Tribolium castaneum: one gene and its partner. The protein of the gene in region 1 binds, or shares a complex with, the protein of each later gene. Links are inferred from orthologs where the notes say so. Each region holds a gene or a part of one and is shown on either strand. Other genes may lie near its edges. The genes, in order: basement membrane-specific heparan sulfate proteoglycan core protein and stck.

Region 1 (9,805 bases):
TGGTTCATGCGTGAGTGGGAAAAAGTGCGATCGTTCGTTCGACTGTCCTGATGGTTCCGACGAAAGCGGATGCAGTTTTTGCACACCTGATCAGTTCCCTTGTCAAGGCGGGGGCTGTATCGCTGAACATTTGCGTTGTGACGGTACAATACATTGCTCTGACGGGTCCGATGAGCGAAACTGCGGTATGTCGGACTGCTTAGATTTGACTCTTGCTGTGGTTCTTCATCCACTTGTTCGCTACCATTACCCTTCTCTTTCAATGTTTTTGTTGTGAACTTTTCTAGTCCCTCTTATCTCTGGTTGTTAGAATTGTTTTAATTTTCTCGTATGATTCTATTAACCCTTAGAATGTAGAAGGCAAAAGTGTGACTTAGATTCAGGCTTGTTTTACAATTATTTCGTTTGCGTTTAGTTTTCACGTGTCCAGAAGACCAGTTTCGGTGTGGTAACGGAGTATGCTTAGATAATCGACGTGTTTGCGATACACATCCTGATTGCCCTGATGGTTCCGACGAACAGAATTGCACTGGACCACTACCTGGCCCTGATGATAAGAGTATGTCTCGGCGTTAATAAGGGCCTTTTAGTAGATTCTGACCTTACTTTTGAACATACTAACTTCTACTACTAAACAATATTTTAGTTCGTAATTTTTAGTCTAACCTTGATAACTACCGCAAATGACTTTGGAAAAGTTCTCATGCTTAATTAATTAGGATTTACTAGTTCCAAGGTGTCTCAGCTATTTTGATCCTAGAAAAATAAATATTTTTGAGACACTCTGGACTGTACAAGTAACATTAGGTACGTCTTTATGTCTAATAAATATTTCTCATGTAGAGATGTCCTGGAAATAATTATATTTGAATTTTTTCCAACATACACGCGTAAAACGAATACGAGTAGCTTTTTATTTGCTATAAATACATTTGACTATATCCCTCTATGTATTTATTGTGACAAAAGTTGGAAAACTAAAACTACGGCAGTAACAATCGGCAACAATCGAAAATGCTGGCCTCTAGCCAGTAAACAATTTATCAAATAATCATAATCACAGGTACCAACAGACCTCATTTTGGATTAAGTAAACACTAACTTTCTTATGTGTATAAAGTGTTAATTAAAAAATTGTATAATCGGATACCTGCCATTAGAATTACGTATTAATGACCCAATATTTTTTAACATAGAAGAGGCCGGTTTACATTTTCGATGTAAACAGACTGATTTGATTGATTTTCGGTCAGTGAACGTAAATTTTGTATGTAGTACTTAGCTAATCCTCTTGTAACTATAAATTAAACTTTGACTAACTACATATTACCTAAAAGTTTCTCATGCTTGTGTTGCTAATAGATGAATTAAGATAAATAACGTTTTATTTTTTACTGTAGGATGTCTCCCTAGTCAATTCGATTGTGGAGATTCTTCTTGCATTAACTCTGAGTTTCGTTGCGATGGATATCAGGACTGTAAGAACGGACGGGATGAAATGGAATGCAGTTCCAGTAAGTCGCGTTTGCACAATGTTGCTACTTAAGTTACATTAAATAATGAATGAGACAAAACATTTGTAAAAATTTTCAGCTTACTGCCATGAAGAAGATGAATTCCGCTGCAGTGACGGCACTTGCATTCCGAATTCTGCGTTTTGTGACGGCGTCCGCCACTGCAGGGACGGCAGTGACGAGCTTGATTGTCCGCCGCCTCCGAGCATATGTACAGTTAATGAATTCCAATGCGATAACGGCGAGTGCATCCCCAATTACCTGCGCTGCGACGGAGTGTCCGAGTGTCCCGACCGATCGGACGAAAGAGAATGTCGTAAGTTTGTTTTTAGTTTACTTGTGACTTCCTCTTTTCCAAACTGTTTTTTACCTCAAACAAATCTGTTTTCTGGCCTTTTGGCCAGGGACATGCCACGAGCCTGACTGGTTCCAGTGTTCGGACGGGCTCTGTGTTGACGCCACCCTTCGCTGCGATAACTTCTACGACTGCCGGGACTTTTCAGACGAACAAAATTGCTTTGGTTAGAGCTCTGTCCATGTTTCTTACTATTTCTGTTGACGTTTTTAGGTGTATTTGGTGTCAGATATTACTAGGGTTCTGTAGCAGTATTAACGCAGTCATAGAGTATTACAGTAGGACATTGTGTGATTTGTAGGTTTCTGGTTTAGAACCGTAGATCGGTGTTACATTTTATTCGATTTTGGCCCATTTTAGCAGTTGATCCCATAGGCTACGTATTCTTATATTTAGTCTACCAATTTGCGAGCATGGTTGTTCCCCACATTTAGTCTGTGTTTTTTTATATTTTTGTATACTCATGATTTTTTATTAATTTCAAATTTGCCTATTATTTCTTTTCAACAAAGAGGCAGAAGTTGGACTCCAGGCAAATCCAGTCTGACGACAGTTTTTATTTATTTTGTTATTTTATTTGTGCACGTTTATTTGCACTAAAAGATTAAAAATAAATGCTTAAAACTAGAAATTATTTTTGTACATTTTAACAGTTAAATTCTAATGAAACAAATGTTAAGCTTATTCATTGAATAATTGTGGGTAACATTACATAATCATTCGAAACTATTGTGTCAATACTCTATCAATCCTCGTTGGTTTATTGCACCCAAGTTTTGTTCGGTTAAAAGTCGAATACTACATTTTTGTAAGTGTTTACGTGTGTGTATACAGTTATACACATTTCCGATACTAATCCATCCATTAGTGTTAATGCCACCGAGAAATTTTTAATGCCGCATCAGTTTTTGGTTTAATTTTTCAAAAATGAAACGAAAAATTGTGATTTGGTTTATGAACATCCCTACACTGTTTTGATAAATATTCATTTTGTAAACTCACAGTTAATTACACTTTTTGTTTAACAGTAAAAAATAATTATCGCCGCGCTATTAGTTACCACAATAATTATGTATTTATATCTATTTCTTTGGCACATTAATAAAGTTTGCGTGTTGTGTTTTACACGAAATCGTTCTTCTACCTAAGTTTATTAACTACAATTTTAAAATAAACTGTTTAAATTAAGTATTTTTATTGTAGTATTCATTTTGGCCGAGTTGCAGTAATAAATCAATTATAAAATAGTGGCCGTTCTAAACGCCTCTGTGACATGTTTCACTTCATTTTTACTTGCTGAAAAATTACGAGACCATCACCATTTAATCATAGAAATTGTCCTTTTTTATTTTCGGAAGAGACAAGATCTAATTGCACTATTTGCTTTTTTAATTTGTTTTTTTCTTTTGTGTTATATTTATTTTGTTTTTTTTTGTTCCCTTCTCGTAGAATGCCGTACAGATCAATTCCAGTGTTCGAATGGAACTTGCATAGCCGGTAATTTACGTTGTAACAGAAGGAATGACTGTAGTGACGGTTCTGATGAGTTTAATTGCCCAACTCAACCACCGCCATTTGTAACAGAACAACCACTGCCACCGAGACCGCCCCAAATCACCTGTTCGCCAGGCACTCAGCCATGCCACAGTGGGGACAGATGCATTCTTCATTCCCAATTTTGCGACGGCAGAGTCGATTGCAACGACATGTCCGACGAAACCAACTGTCGTAAGTGTCTTACCGATTTTGTGATTGTCCTAAATGTCTGTGTGTTTCCCTTGATGTTGTAACCACCTCTAGAACCCAAGCGCGAAGGGGCTTGCTCACGCGGCCAATTTCGGTGCGAAAACGGCCCTTGCATCCGAGAGGAATTGCGATGTGACGGAAAGGTGGATTGTCCGAGAGATTCTAGCGATGAGCTAGATTGTCCAACGCGCTATCGTAAGTCGGTCGCAAGTTAAATTATGCGACTGACCATGATTATTATTTATTTAATAACACGGCCTGTTGTAATTTCTAGTCGGTTGATGGACAATTTAACAACTAATAATCGCTGTAATTTACTGTACATAAAAGATAACTCACTAAATTTAAACAAATTATCTGAAACGTAAATTATGGGGGACGAAGATTAACATTTTAATGACATAATGACGAATTATGCGACAAACATTAATACGATCTTTTTTCTACAGCTGGGCCTAGCGAGGGGCTTAACTTAAGGACCTATCCCAGCTCCCAAGAAATTAAAGAAAGTGAGTATTCAGCTAGTTATCGCTTACTTTTTTGTCCACGTATTTTAGTAATTATTCAGTGCACTTCTTCGTGTATATATTACGCACTATATGTAATGTCTTCTGTGTTGTATACATGTAACTAATGATTTTTATTCTCTTTATGTCTTGTTGGAGCAGACATTTATAAACCTGGTGAGTAAAATGGGCAACTTAGCGGGAATGACTTTCATTCAAAGGCGCCACTTCATGTCTTTCACTTATTTACATAAACCTTCTATACTTTTCCTCGCCTGTGTGTGCGAAATTTATTATTTATTTTGTTTCTACAGGATACCAGTGAGCAAATTCACTTAATTTGGTTATTACTTCTAACAAATTACTTCTTTCAAAAGCTTAGGTACCTACCCTAGCTCTATGAAGATCCAGTAAAATATGTTTGTGTGTAACAGAAACGATTAAATTTGATATTTTTAAATAAATACAAATACAAATTGCAAATTTGTATCCTGTTTGTTTTTACAATCTTCCTTCTGTTTTTTAACATAGTTGTCTTCTTTTTAGTATAGAAGTCTTTATGTGTCTCATAATTTGTATATAATATATCGGCTTTCTGAAAATAAAGGCTTTCTCTCAAGGGATAATGCTTATGGCTTATTACACGTATGTAATTGGGGGTTTTACAATTAATAATTGCATCTACTATTATCAAATAAATTGAGGGAGATAATTAGTTTAATACATTTGTAATTGTATGAAAAATCATAGTTTTATATTTACCTTTTGTGATAACCAAAGTGATAACATTAAACCGTTTAGGAAAGGAACAAAAGATCGTAGGCACCGTTCTAGGAAATACAGAAATTAGAAAAATACTACTTCGAAGGTTGCAGGAATATATTGTTGAAGAGAGTCTACCAAAATTAACGATTGCCACTCGTAATAGTAACCGTCCAAATGAACTTGCAGAAGAAAGACAGTTTCAGAGATGTTCTCGTATTTTGAGTTAATTGTTATTAAAAAAAAGGTTTTAGTCGACCCTCTTCAACATAGTAAATATTACCACTGGGAGTTAAAACACACGATAACCTATTAAAAAAGTTGAAAATAACACCGTTGCACCTTGAAACATCTCATTTAAAAAGCTCCATTATTTAAACGAACATGTAAATAGGGCGCTTAAGTAAAATTTAATCCGAACTGACCCTTCCATAATTTATTAGTCCAGGTGTAAATATGCATGGACTGGTTTCCGCCTTTTTTAACCCAAAACTAATGCATAATAATCCAACCTAGATCGAGAAGTCGTCTTCCAATGCAGAGATGAGGGTCCATTTAGAGCCAGAGTGCGCTGGACGCGACCCAACGGAGAACCATTACCTCCAGGGTCCAGAGACCACAATGGTCGACTTGAAATACCCAACATTAAAGTGGAACACAGCGGAACATACACGTGTGAAGCCGTTGGCTATCCTCCCAACACACCCGGAGCTCACGTCTCAGTGCACCTCCAAGTCGACCGATGTAAGTGCTCAAATCTCACATTTCGTGGTGTTTTCCTCCGACTAACAATGTTACATGCAGTCGGGAGGAGTAAAACCAAATCGTCGCTGTTGAAATATGGAGTCCTGCCTCCTATAGATACTGAGTATCTTGGGACAGGTATTTTTACAATGAATACTAAACGAATTTTTACTAATAGCTCTGTTTTCTCACTGCTTTCTTTTTTCTTACGGTAAGTTTCGCTGTTTTGAAATGTTATATTTTTTAAAAGTGGTGATTAATTTGCTGTTTTTGCAGGGATTCCACCACCAATCCGCCCACCAACAGCTTGTGCCCTCCACGAAGCCACTTGTTCAAACGGCGACTGCATCCCCAAACATCAAGTCTGTGATGAGAAATACGACTGCACCGACGGTTCCGACGAAAACCGTTGCAGTAAGTTGGGTCGTATATTTTGACGTTTAAATATTTCCAAATTATGTAAATCGAAAGACACCAGGTCTTTAAACCACGAGCAATTATCTAATTCAGTGCGAATAAATTTATTTATTTATTTATAAATAAAATTGCCAGACCCCAACGGCTGCGAACCGAACGAATTCCGCTGTGCCAACAAGAAGTGCGTTTTGAAGACCTGGAGATGCGATTCGGACGATGATTGCGGCGACGGCTCCGACGAAGAAAACTGCGCCACAAACCCTCCCGGATCCCTGTGCGCCTACCACCAATTCGCATGCCATTCCAACAACCAATGCATTCCACGAAGCTACCACTGTGATCTGGAACGCGATTGTATCGATGGTAGCGATGAAATCGGTTGTTGTAAGTAAAAAATTTCATCTTAGGCTAAAAATCATCAACGCTTTCGTAGCGATACCCGTGGTCTCTAAACCTCCACCACCGATGGTCAACCTCGAGGTTGGCTCAACTTTCGAAATTACTTGCACGGCAGTCGGTGTTCCCACACCTGAGATTGTGTGGCGTTTGAACTGGGGCCACATTCCGCCCAAGTGCCGCACTACCAGCGATAACGGCTTTGGGACGCTTTCTTGTCCCAACATCCAAGTGGAAGATCAAGGCGCGTATTCTTGCGAAGTTATCAATATCAAGGGGACTGTTTTTGCGATCCCGGACACTATTCTAGTCATCAATCAAAATACTGTCTGTCCTGCTGGCTACTTTAATGAGGAAGCTAGAAGTCAGGCCGAATGCATCAAGTGTTTCTGTTTCGGGCAGTCCACCAAGTGTCGTTCCGCAGACTTGTTTATTTACCATTTCCAACCGCCGTTCGATACTTTAAAACTCTTGGGTGTTCGCATTGATTCGAACACAGGGGTGATTGATATTAGGGATGAACCAATTTACCGAAATGCACAACCTCAGTTGACGGGACTTGGCAGAAATGGTGTTCACGCCCAGTTACCACCATATGGTCAAATCAGCTCGAGCGACCTCGTGCCATACTTTGCCATGCCGGAGAACTACCACGGAAATCAACTGAAGAGTTATGGTGGATATCTGAGGTTTACGGTGCGACATTACAATCGAGGATATACCATAGCAGGACCTACAGTTATTCTCACTGTAAGTTCTTTTAAGTTTTTATTTAACTTATGTTTTATAATCTGGTTGCTTATTACTTTGAGAGGGATTACATTATCCGAACGAACTGAAATTTTACATACACACGTAATCTGCGTGACAATAAATAACAGTTAGGGAATGTTATTATTAGCATTATCGAGTACAAATTTTCAGGGTAATGGTTACACGTTACTGAGCAGACACAACATTAGCCCGCCCTCAAACCGCGACGAACAGATCGAAGTCCGATTCTTTGAGGGCGAATGGGTGAAACGTTCGGACCGTCAACTAGAAACACCAGCAACGCGCGAAGAAATAATGATGGCTTTGGCCGAAGTTGACAACATTTTAATTAAATTGCAATACAATGAAGGTCCACTTAACACCACAATCACCAACATAGAAATGGACTCTGCGGGGGCACCCAACAGTGGTCTAGGCCCAGCGTCGTACGTGGAAGAGTGCGAATGTCCTGTTGGTTACAGCGGATCGTCTTGTGAGCGTTGCGCTGATGGATTTGTGCGTCACAAGACCGGCCCCTGGCTTGGACAATGTTACCGCGTCCAACCACAACCATGTCCTCCAGGAACTTACGGAGATCCGTCACGGGGAAGACCGTGTGAGATTTGCCCATGTCCTCTCACAAGTCCCAGCAATCAGTAAGTGTGGATTGAGGAATATTTGTTGCATTAATTCGGTGAATAGGTTTGCCAGAACTTGTTCACTGGGGTCCGATGGTGAGGTTACTTGTGACTGTCCACCGGGATATGTCGGGAGACGCTGCGAACAGTGTGCTCCTGGTTATTCTGGAAATCCTCTGATTCCGGGTGATTCGTGCCGGGCTTCCTCGTATTGCAATTCGGAAGGGACAAGTCTTGAAGAGCAAGGAAGGTGTCGGTGCAAAGTGAGTAGAATTTTTGATGATTTTTCCATTTTTGGAATTTAATACTAACATCGCGAAACTTTTTTCACGCTCGTTTCCGCTCTATGGTAAGTGCAGCAATTTATCCTTGTCATTATTTTGACTACTTGCCGATTTAGTTACTCTTAAAAAATTATCCATAAATTGGGTGTCACACATTTTGATTAAAATCTTTATCTTGTCAGGATTACGTTGATGGTCCGACTTGTGACACCTGCAAGGCTAACACCTTCCATCTCAGCGGAGAAAACCAATTCGGGTGTATCGCCTGCTTCTGCATGGGTGTCACAAGACAGTGTAGCAGTTCTACATGGTTCAGGGACCAAATCAGTACTACTTTTACAAGTTCGCGTGACCATTTCACTCTTATTGATACCGAAAGAAGAGAAGAACCCATCACAGACGCAATCAGACTGGATCAAAATCAACGCGAAATTTCCTATAGCAGTTTCTCCAACCCCAACGTCCATTACTGGTCACTTCCTCGTCGTTACTTAGGAAATAAAATAGCTTCGTACGGTGGTTACTTAAAGTACACGTTACGCTACGTTCCTTTACCGGGTGGCCAGATATCTAGGAATTCGGCTGCTGATGTAGAACTCGTCAGTGTAAGTTTCGGAAAAGTCTGGTTGTTTTTTTTTTTGAGGGAGTGTTTTTAGGCCAATGAAATAACTTTATTGTACTACGCAAGGGAACAATCTCAACCGACTGGATCGCCGCAAACTTTCGTAGTTCCATTATTGGAGCAATACTGGCAACGTAGCGACGGCCAAAAGGCCGACCGTGAGCACTTGCTAATGGCTTTGGCCGATTTGAATGCCATTTATATCAAAGCGACTTACAATACCAACACTCGAGAGTCGGCGTAAGTAATTTTCGCCTCGTGCTATGGCTTTAATTAAATAAGCAAACTTAGATTGATTTCGGTGTCTCTGGATACGGCAAACGAATACAACACTGGATCCAGCGAGCGCGCTTTAGCCGTTGAACAGTGCCGCTGTCCGGAGGGCTACACGGGTTTGTCTTGTGAAGACTGCGCCGTTGGATACACCCGAGCTGAAGAAGGAATCTACCTTGGAATTTGCGAACCTTGCAACTGCAACGGTAACTCTAGAGAGTGTCATCCAGAAACCGGCGTGTGCCAGAACTGCGATAACTTCACCACTGGGGATAACTGCGAGTTGTGTCTGCCGGGATATGAAGGCGACCCTGCAAACGGCATTCCGTGTGTTGGGGGAAGCTCACAGTGCAACTGCGACCAACAAGGGGCGATTTCACCCGAGTGTTACAACGGAATTTGTCGGTGTAAGGTAGGTCAAAAATGGTGGATGCGCCGGGATCATTACTTAACTTGTTGAAAAATGTGTTAGTTTCGGCCTGGTTTTGCAATAAAATGTGATTAATGTTTAGACCAACGTGGAAGGCAACCGTTGTAACCGCTGCCGGCCGGGGACTTTCGGTTTAAGTGGCGGCAACATCCACGGTTGTCAAACCTGCTTCTGCTCCGGAGTGGCCACCGAATGTGTGGAAGGCAACCTGTTCTACGAACAAATTCCGATATTTATTGATGCTGACCGACATGGATTTACCCTCACAGACCAGTAATTAAAAAAAAAATATATCTAAAAGATTTTCTGATTTGTGTGTTTTTGAAGGTACCAAACACAGCGCATCGATTCCGGCTTCCAAATTC
Region 2 (9,805 bases), on another chromosome or scaffold:
ATTTGAAAAAAAAAAGAAAGACAGTTTTTCGTTTACAGAAACGACTATATTATTATTTTTTTTTCAAAATTTGGTGAGATAGACGTCAAAAAATTTGGTCAAAGCGAAAATGGTGTGAACACTGCGGATTTTTTACAATGTGAGGCAAGAAAAAATGTTTTTATTGCCTTTTTTGGCCGTTTTTGTGCGTTTTCTTTGCATAAAAGTAAAATAATATTATTTAAAGTTGGAGATAATTTAGCTAACGGTTTGATACAGTAGTACATTACGTCAAAAATTAATTTGTTTTTTCGTTTTTTTTTAAGTCTCTTGGCACGTTTTCCAATAAATTTCATTTTAAACACGTTTTACTGCTTTAATCTATTTTTTTTGTGGGAGATATTTGATATAAATCCACCGACAAATCATAAAATTTTGGTCGAAAATTGCGTTGTCTTTGAACGGTTGTTTACTTTATTGCAACTTTTTTGAGTCGAAATTATTTATTATTATTATTTGAACAATTACTAAATAGGGGCAAAAATAAAAATAAATTTTGCTTTTTTCGTCCGTATTTTACATTTTTTAGAGACTTTATTATTAATATTTCTCAAAAATTTGGTGGAAAAGACAATAAATGACCAAAACAGAGCGAACATTGTGTGATTTGACCTTTTTTGCGTTAGCCAAAAATAACCAGAAAAAATGTGGAGTGGGGTGGTGAGAATTTGAGCTAAAAACTGTGTTATTTTTGCAAGATTTTTCAATGTCAAGCCGAAAAGTCACCAAATTAGATCGAAACTGATCCTCATATTACCTTTTTCAAGCGTTTAAACAAGGTTTTAAGATAAAAACCGATCGTTTTTCGGCTTTTAGTTCAATTTTTGAGCACTTATTTCGAATTTTGTTGGAAACAAATCGATGAAACACTAAATTCGGTCGAAATTTTCGCTAAATTTTATCAATAATCAGTCGAAAAACTTTAAAATTATCTCAAAAAATGGTATATTATACCTTTTTTGTGAGGTAAAAACTTTGTTTTTCTAAGATTTTCTCTCTTCTAGCAATTTCGCAAAATTGCTCGAAAATCAATCGAAAATTGCTTTTTTTTGGAACAGTTGTGCACTTTATAGTGCTAAAAACTCGAGAAATTAAATAGCTTTTAATTTTTTTGGACGCTTTATTGCAACTTTCTTCAGTCTAAAACTCAATTGTTTATTTGAAAAAAAAAGAAAGACAGTTATTCGTTTACAGAAACGACTATATTATTAATTTTTTTTCAAAATTTGGTGAGAAAGACGTCAAAAAATTTGGTCAAAGCGAAAATGGTGTGAAAACTGCCGATTTTTTACAATGTGAGGCAAGAAAAAATGTTTTTATTGCCTTTTTTGGCCGTTTTTGTGCGTTTTCTTTGCATAAAAGTAAAATAATATTATTTAAAGTTGGAGATAATTTAGCTAACGGTTTGATATAGTAGTACATTACGTCAAAAATTAATTTGTTTTTTCGTTTTTTTAAGTCTCTTGGCACGTTTTCCAATAAATTTCATTTTAAACACGTTTTACTGCTTTAATCTATTTTTTTTTGTGGGAGATATTTGATATAAATTCACCGACAAATCATAAAATTTTGGTCGAAAATTAAATAATCATTTTGATTTTAGCAAGTTATTTCAGTTAAATTTTTTTTTTTTTTGAAAAATTACCGAAAAAATATTAAGTGATGGCGAAAATGAACGTTCTATTGCAGTTTTTTTTAGGTCAAGCCGAATAATTTTGAAATTAAATCTTTACTGGCATTCTTCTTTCATTTTTTTATTCTTTAAGCTAGGTTTTATGTCGAAAATATCATTATTATTGCCTGAAAGAAGAAATTAAAAAAAAATTGCCGAAAACAAGTCAAAAATTAGCACAATAGGGTGAAAATTGTGATGGTTTTGCCTGTTTTCACAGGTATTGAGCTAAAAACTGAGTTTTTTTGCGAAATTTTACAATATCAGGCAAAAATCAGCAAGTTAAATCGAAAGTATTCATAATTGTGTTTTTTTTTTCAATAAATTTTACGTTGAACATAAACTCTCTTTTTCTTATTTTTTTAAATTTTATTTATTATTGCGAAAATTAAATGATTGTTCGGTTTTAACAAGTTATTTCAGTTAGATCATATTTTTGAAAAATTTCATTAAAAAAATAAGCGGAAAAATCACAAGATTTTTTAGAACGCTTTCGGACTTGAAACTGATTTTTTTTTCACAAAATCTTCCTAAGTTAAGCTAAAGAATTATGGAATTAAATCACCAATGAAATTCTTTTTCCTTTTTCCGAATGTTGAAGCTTATTTTTATGTAAAAAAATTACTTTATTTTTGCCTTTTTAGACCATTTAACATTTTTTTTAAACGGAAATGCAACTATTTTGAAAAAATCTGTCGAAAATAAGCCAGAAATTACCACAAAAAAGTGGAAATGGTGAACTGTGTTTTTTGGAAGATTTTTCAATATCAAGCCGAAAAGTCACCAAATTAGATCGAAACTGATCCTCATACTATCTTTTTCAAGCGTTTAAACAAGGTTTTAAGATAAAAAGCGATCGTTTTTCGGCTTTTAGTTCAATTTTTGAGCATTTATTTCGAATTTTGTTGGAAACAAATCGATGAAACACTAAATTCGGTCGAAATTTTCGCTAAATTTTATCAATAATCAGTCGGAAAACTTTAAAATTATCTCAAAAAATGGTATATTTTATCTTTTTTGTGAGGTAAAAACTTTGTTTTTCTAAGATTTTCTCTCTTGTTCGAGCAATTTCGCAAAATTGCTCGAAAATCAATCGAAAATTGCGTTATTTTTGAACAGTTGTGCACTTTATAGTGCTAAAAACTCGAGAAATTAAATAGCTTTTAATTTTTTTGGACGCTTTATTGCAACTTTCTTCAGTCTAAAACTCAATTGTTTATTTGAAAAAAAAGAAAGTTTTTCGTTTACAGAAACGACTATATTATTAATTTTTTTTCAAAATTTGGTGAGATAGACGTCAAAAAATTTGGTCAAAGCGAAAATGGTGTGAAAACTGCGGATTTTTTACAATGTGAGGCAAGAAAAAATGTTTTTATTGCCTTTTTTGGCCGTTTTTGTGCGTTTTCTTTGCATAAAAGTAAAATAATATTATTTAAAGTTGGAGATAATTTAGCTAACGGTTTGATATAGTAGTACATTACGTCAAAAATTAATTTGTTTTTTTTTGTTTTTTTTAAGTCTCTTGGCACGTTTTCCAATAAATTTTATTTTAAACATGTTTTACTGCTTTAATCTATTTTTTTTGTGGGAGATATTTGATATAAATCCACCGACAAATCATAAAATTTTGGTCGAAAATTGCGTTGTCTTTGAACGGTTGTTTACTTTATTGCAACTTTTTTGAGTCGAAATTATTTATTATTAATATTTGAACAATTACTAAATAGGGGCAAAAATAAAAATAAATTTTGCTTTTTTCGTCCGTATTTTACATTTTTTAGAGACTTTATTATTAATATTTTTTAAAAATTTGGTGGAAAAGACAATAAATGACCAAAACAGAGCGAAAATTGTGTGATTTGTCCTCTTTTGCGTTAGCCAAAAATAACCAGAAAAAAAGTGGAGTGGGGTGGTGAGTATTTGAGCTAAAAACTGAGTTATTTTTGCAAGATTTTTCAATGTCAAGCCGAAAAGTCACCAAATTAGATCGAAACTGATCCTCATATTACCTTTTTCAAGCGTTTAAACAAGGTTTTAAGATAAAAACCGATCGTTTTTCGGCTTTTAGTTCAATTTTTGAGCACTTATTTCGAATTTTGTTGGAAACAAATCGATGAAACACTAAATTCGGTCGAAATTTTCGCTAAATTTTATCAATAATCAGTCGAAAAACTTTAAAATTATCTCAAAAAATGGTATATTTTACCTTTTTTGTGAGGTAAAAACTTTGTTTTTCTAAGATTTTCTCTCTTGTTTTAGCAATTTCGCAAAATTGCTCGAAAATCAATCGAAAATTGCGTTATTTTTGAACAGTTGTGCACTTTATAGTGCTAAAAACTCGAGAAATTAAATAATTTTTTTGGACGCTTTATTGCAACTTTCTTCAGTCTAAAACTCAATTGTTTATTTGAAAAAAAAAGAAAGACAGTTTTTCGTTTACAGAAACGACTATATTATTAATTTTTTTTCAAAATTTGGTGAGAAAGACGTCAAAAAATTTGGTCAAAGCGAAAATGGTGTGAAAACTGCGGATTTTTTACAATGTGAGGCAAGAAAAAATGTTTTTATTGCCTTTTTTTTGCATAAAAGTAAAATAATATTATTTAAAGTTGGAGATAATTTAGCTAACGGTTTGATATAGTAGTACATTACGTCAAAAATTAATTTGTTTTTTCGTTTTTTTTAAGTCTCTTGGCACGTTTTCCAATAAATTTCATTTTAAACACGTTTTACTGCTTTAATCTATTTTTTTTTGTGGGAGATATTTGATATAAATTCACCGACAAATCATAAAATTTTGGTCGAAAATTAAATAATCATTTTGATTTTAGCAAGTTATTTCAGTTCAAAATTTTTTTTTTTTTGAAAAATTACCGAAAAAATATTAAGTGATGGCGAAAATGAACGTTCTATTGCAGTTTTTTTTAGGTCAAGCCGAATAATTACGAAATTAAATCTTTACTGGCATTCTTCTTTCATTTTTTTATTCTTTAAGCTAGGTTTTATGTCGAAAATATCATTATTATTGCCTGAAAGAAGAAATTAAAAAAAAAATTGCCGAAAATAAGTCAAAAATTAGCACAGTAGGGTAAAAATTGTGATGGTTTTGCCTGTTTTCACAGGTATTGAGCTAAAAACTGAGTTTTTTTGCGAAATTTTACAATATCAGACAAAAAATCAACAAGTTAAATCGAAAGTATTTATAATTGTGTTTTTTTTTTTCAATAAATTTTACGTTGAACATAAACTCTCTTTTTCTTATTTTTTTAAATTTTATTTATTATTGCGAAAATTAAATGATTATTCGGTTTTAACAAGTTATTTCAGTTAGATCAGATTTTTGAAAAATTTCATTAAAAAAACAAGCGGAAAAATCACAAGATTTTTTAGAACGCTTTCGGACTTGAAACTGATTTTTTTTTCACAAAATCTTCCTAAGTTAAGCTAAAGAATTACGGAATTAAATCACCAATGAAATTCTTTTTCCTTTTTCCGAATGTTGAAGCTTATTTTTATGTAAAAAAATTACTTTATTTTTGCCTTTTTAGACCATTTAACATTTTTTTTAAACGGAAATGCAACTATTTTGAAAAAATCTGTCGAAAATAAGCCAGAAATGACCACAAAAAAGTGGAAATGGTGAGCTGTGTTTTTTGGAAGATTTTTCAATATCAAGCCGAAAAGTCACCAAATTAGATCGAAATTGATGTTCATATGGTCCTTTTCAAGCGTTTAAACATATAATAGTTCAATTTTTGAACAATTATTTCGAATTTTGTCGGAAAAAATCGATGAAACACTAAACTCGGTCGAAATTTCATCAAAAATCTGTCGAAAAATCTCAAAATTAGCTCAAAAATGGTATATTTTACTTATTTTCTAGCTAAAAATTTTCTATTTATCCAAGTTTTTATTAACGAAATAGTGTTATTTTTGAAAGTTTTTGAACTTAAAAGGTCAAAAAGTCATGTTAGGTCAAAAATAAAATCATGTTTGCTTTCTTTTTCAGTGAGACAGGCAATTATTTCCCCGCGAAACTTCTTTTTTTTTCTTTTCTTTAACCTGAAATTTTACATAATTGCACTTCGGCTCATTTTTTGAACAATAATTATTCCGAATTTTGTCGAGAATAAGTCGATAAATCACAAAATTTGGTCGAAATTGGTGTTTTCACTCGAAAAACTTCAAAATTACGTCAAAAAAATGAAATAAACTAAACAAAAATAGAAATAAGAAAAAATAGTATATTACATTTGTTCCATTGGAGCACTCCTTCGTCGTGCTCCAAAACCATTCGTGCCCCAATTTTTACTATTTCACTATTTTCTGCTGTCTTTTTCAGTAAGAAAGGCAATTAAATTGTTTTTTTTTTGTTTACAAGATTTTAGTAAGCAGGAAATTTGCAAATTTCTAAAAAAAATTGTCAAAAAATCAACAAAATCTGTTGAAAAAAGCGATAATTTGGTCAAAAATGCCCTTTTTTTTTCAGTGCTTTGATCGACGACAAGCCGCTGAAATTCCGCGGTGAAATGTACCACCCGTACCATTTCAATTGTACCAACTGTGGAGTTGAGCTTGACTACACAGCCAGAGAAGTGAGAAGTCGTCCTGGCTTTGCAGCAAACGACATGAACGAGTTATACTGTCTTCGCTGTCACGACAAAATGGGGATTCCCATATGTGGTGCTTGTCGGCGCCCAATCGAAGAACGTGTCGTCACAGCCCTTGGCAAACACTGGCATGTTGAAGTAAAAAAAATACCAAAAAAAACCGGCAATAAAACTAACGCAACTTTTGCAGCATTTCGTTTGCGCCAAATGCGAGAAACCGTTCTTCGGTCATCGCCACTACGAAAAAAAGGGCTTGGCTTATTGCGAGACACACTACCACCAACTTTTCGGGAATTTGTGCTTCGTTTGCAACCAAGTCATCGCAGGGGATGGTAATTTTTTTTAGTTAGAAAAAAATTCAAAATAATGTGGTTTCAGTTTTTACAGCGCTGAATAAAGCGTGGTGTGTTCACCACTTCGCCTGTTCGGTTTGCGACCAGAAAATGAACCAGAAGACGAAGTTCTACGAGTGCGACCTTAAACCGGTATGTAAAAAATGTTACGATAAATTTCCCACTGAGTTGAGAAGGAGGCTAAAGCGGCAACACGAGGCCATGCCGCAAAGAAAAGCGGCAACGCCAACTTAATTTGTGCCTTAATCTACATTTCAACTATGAATAAAAAAATAATTTTTTACTACTCTACTACTCATACTAATGTGGTGGCAACACTGAACTTGATAATTATTGAGTGTCACTCAGAAAAAATAAGGAATAAAGTACGTAAAAATATAGATATTGTAGTTGCTTCAGTTGTTCAAACTGATTTCATGACCTGCCTAAAAACATTATTATTTATATAGACATACTGGTGCTCGATTTTTATAATAATTGTGTCGAAGTATCGTTAACATTTAAATTCATTTAACATTGACATAGTCATTAATAAAAGGCTTATAATACTGTCGTTGTATTTTTCGCCTATCTATCCAAGTCCTTTAATCATATTTCCTTTAAACAAATTTTCCTGATAGCACCTTAAAAGTTTATGATTGGTGTTTTATTTCTGAAGTAAAATACCAATTTCAGTAATTTTATTGAACGTCTGAAGTACCTATACAGGGTGGGGCTCCTAGACGTGTTTTACACTATATCTCAGAAACTAATAGTCGCACTTGATTGAGCGTTTGATATAAAATACCTATTGATTTTCTCTATATAAGTGATTTTTTTCAGAATTTTTCTACTTTTCGTTATAGTTATAATGAAGTTTAAAATACGAAAATATTATTTAATCGAAATTTTATGCTTAATTTTTTTGTTTTGAGAATATAATTTTTAATAAAAATTTTGCCAACACGAAAATTACGTTTATTTTGATTTTTACTGAATTATACAGAGTGTCCATTTTTCGAGGTCCACTATAGGGATCTCAGTTATTATGAGAGATACGAGGTCGGTTTAATTAGGACAAAGTTGCGCATTTTTATACTGAACAATTATCTGAAAGAAAATTTGATGTCTTTTTGAATTAATGAAAAAAAAACAGAAATTTGGTTTTTTGTTTTTATTTTTTTTAAGTCAAAACCAAAAGAACTAGACGTTTTTAAGGTGGACATTGTTCAGGCACTTTTTTACAAGGAATCTGAATCTGTCATCGCCTTTTCCAAGGCCTTCTTGATGTCAGAGTTACGACACTCAACTTTGGTTTTTCTTATAGACGCCATATTTGAAATTTGTATTTTTGAAAAGTCCTTTTGTTCCTGATTTCAATGGTGTATCACACGATATGATTGAATCTTACATGCTGATTAAAATGAAGAAAGCGTTTTTGCAAAGATTGCTTTGGAAAAAACGTCAAAAATGTTGTTTAACAAACTAAACTCTGACAGTAAGTAAGTTAGTTTGACGAAAATGTGAACGTTCTAGATTCAAATTCAATTAAACGTTCAAAATATAATTTATTTTAATTTTTACTTAATTATACAGAGTGTCCATTTTTCGAGGCCTATCATGAGGATCTCGTTATTATAAGATACGAGGTCGGTTCAATTAGGGAAAAGTTGTGCATTTTTATACTGAACAATTATCTAAAAGAAAATTTGATGTGTCTTTTTTAGTTTTTGAATTATTGAAAAAAAAACGGAAATATGTAATTTTCGTTTTTATTTTTTTGAACGAAAACCAAAAGAACTAGACGTTTTTAAGTTGGACATTCTTCAGGCACTTTTTTACAAGGAATTTAAATCTGTTATCGCCTTTTCCAAGGCGTTCTTGATGTCAGAGTTACGACACTCAACTTTGGTTTTTCTTATAGACGTCTAATTTGAAACTTGTATTTTTGAAGAGTTTTTTTATTTCTGATTTCAATGATGTATCACATGATATGATCGAATCTTAAATGCTGATTAAAATGAAGAAAAAAGCCTTTTTGCAAAGAGTGCTTTGGAAAAAACGTCAAAAATGTTGTTTAACAAATTTGACATATCTATTAAATATGCGAGCAAAATTTTTTTAAGTTTCTCTTGCTTTGGTATGCGAAGAAACGCCAAAAATTTTGTTTAACATACTAAATTTTGACAGTTCTATTGAATATGCAAACAGAATTTTTATAACATTGTCTTGTTTTGTTATGCGAAGAATAAACTTATAGCTTATTATGTCGTTTAGTGTTTAAGTACCCAAGATTGACGTAAATGTGAACGTTCTAGAATCAAATACAATTAAACTTCTAAAACGTAGTTGGCGGCTTTTTTTCCAAAGCACTCTTCGCAAAAATGCTTTTTTCTCCATTTTGATCATCACGTAAGATTCGGTCATATTATGTGATACATCGTTGTAACCAGAAATAAACACTTTACAAAAACGCAAAAATTGAATATGGCTTTCATAAGAAAAAAAAGTTCAGTGTTGTAATTCTAACATTAAGAACGTCTTGGAAAATACAATGACAGAAATAGATTTATTGTAAAAAGTACTTGAAGAATGTCCTAGTTAAAAACGTCCAGTTCTTTTAGTTTTCGCTTGAGAAAATAATAACTCACAAACTAAAAATGACATTAAATTAAATATTAAATGAATAAAAAAACATCAAACATTATTTATATGTTTTTCAGACCACAAAAATTAACTTGTTGAAAATTTCATAACCAACCATAATACCCACATAAAATAACAAAATTTTGTTACTTTTGCTTTTTGTCTCAAATCTGTATCTTTTATAGTGGGGAAGATAGAAACTTTTTAACATTCCGCTAAAATGGGACGGGTGTCATCTGTTGATGTTAGTGAAAGTAACAAAAAGACGTTTTAATTGGACGTCGTGTGCATCCTAGTATTTAGTTTTCCGTAATTTTCACGAATTTTTTTTCAATTCGTGCCCTCTATGAGTTGGTGGCGACAACCCACCGCCTTTTTCCTGTAATCGATTGCCGCCCGGTCGGTAAGCGCGGCAGCTGTAACTTGTGCATGCGCAAGTGGGCCCATTTTAGCCAAGCCGACCACCATTTTCGAGTTTACAGTTCGTACAAATAATGTGTTGAAAA

The links.
Region 2: basement membrane-specific heparan sulfate proteoglycan core protein (region 1) and stck share a complex: the UniProt entries of both Caenorhabditis elegans proteins name them as parts of the integrin containing attachment complex. The link is inferred for Tribolium castaneum from reciprocal best matches to the Caenorhabditis elegans genes unc-52 and unc-97.

What each region holds. Positions count from the first base shown.
Region 1 is NC_087398.1:9,118,743-9,128,547, reverse strand, and holds part of basement membrane-specific heparan sulfate proteoglycan core protein, read left to right. Parts: coding exon 1-185; intron 186-415; coding exon 416-559; intron 560-1,400; coding exon 1,401-1,514; intron 1,515-1,593; coding exon 1,594-1,830; intron 1,831-3,318; coding exon 3,319-3,597; intron 3,598-3,669; coding exon 3,670-3,810; intron 3,811-4,064; coding exon 4,065-4,124; intron 4,125-4,283; coding exon 4,284-4,298; intron 4,299-5,399; coding exon 5,400-5,627; intron 5,628-5,903; coding exon 5,904-6,041; intron 6,042-6,179; coding exon 6,180-6,428; intron 6,429-6,477; coding exon 6,478-7,190; intron 7,191-7,364; coding exon 7,365-7,849; intron 7,850-7,895; coding exon 7,896-8,094; intron 8,095-8,297; coding exon 8,298-8,720; intron 8,721-8,771; coding exon 8,772-8,977; intron 8,978-9,028; coding exon 9,029-9,422; intron 9,423-9,522; coding exon 9,523-9,713; intron 9,714-9,767; coding exon 9,768-9,805. UniProt on the Caenorhabditis elegans protein: Component of an integrin containing attachment complex, which is required for muscle development and maintenance. Probable structural role in myofilament assembly and/or attachment of the myofilament lattice to the cell membrane.
Region 2 is NC_087400.1:2,459,687-2,469,491, forward strand, and holds the end of stck (LIM and senescent cell antigen-like-containing domain protein 1), read left to right. Parts: intron 1-6,200; coding exon 6,201-6,459; intron 6,460-6,511; coding exon 6,512-6,653; intron 6,654-6,699; coding exon 6,700-6,908; 3' UTR 6,909-7,223; downstream 7,224-9,805. UniProt on the Caenorhabditis elegans protein: Component of an integrin containing attachment complex, which is required for muscle development and maintenance. Probably function in adherens junction.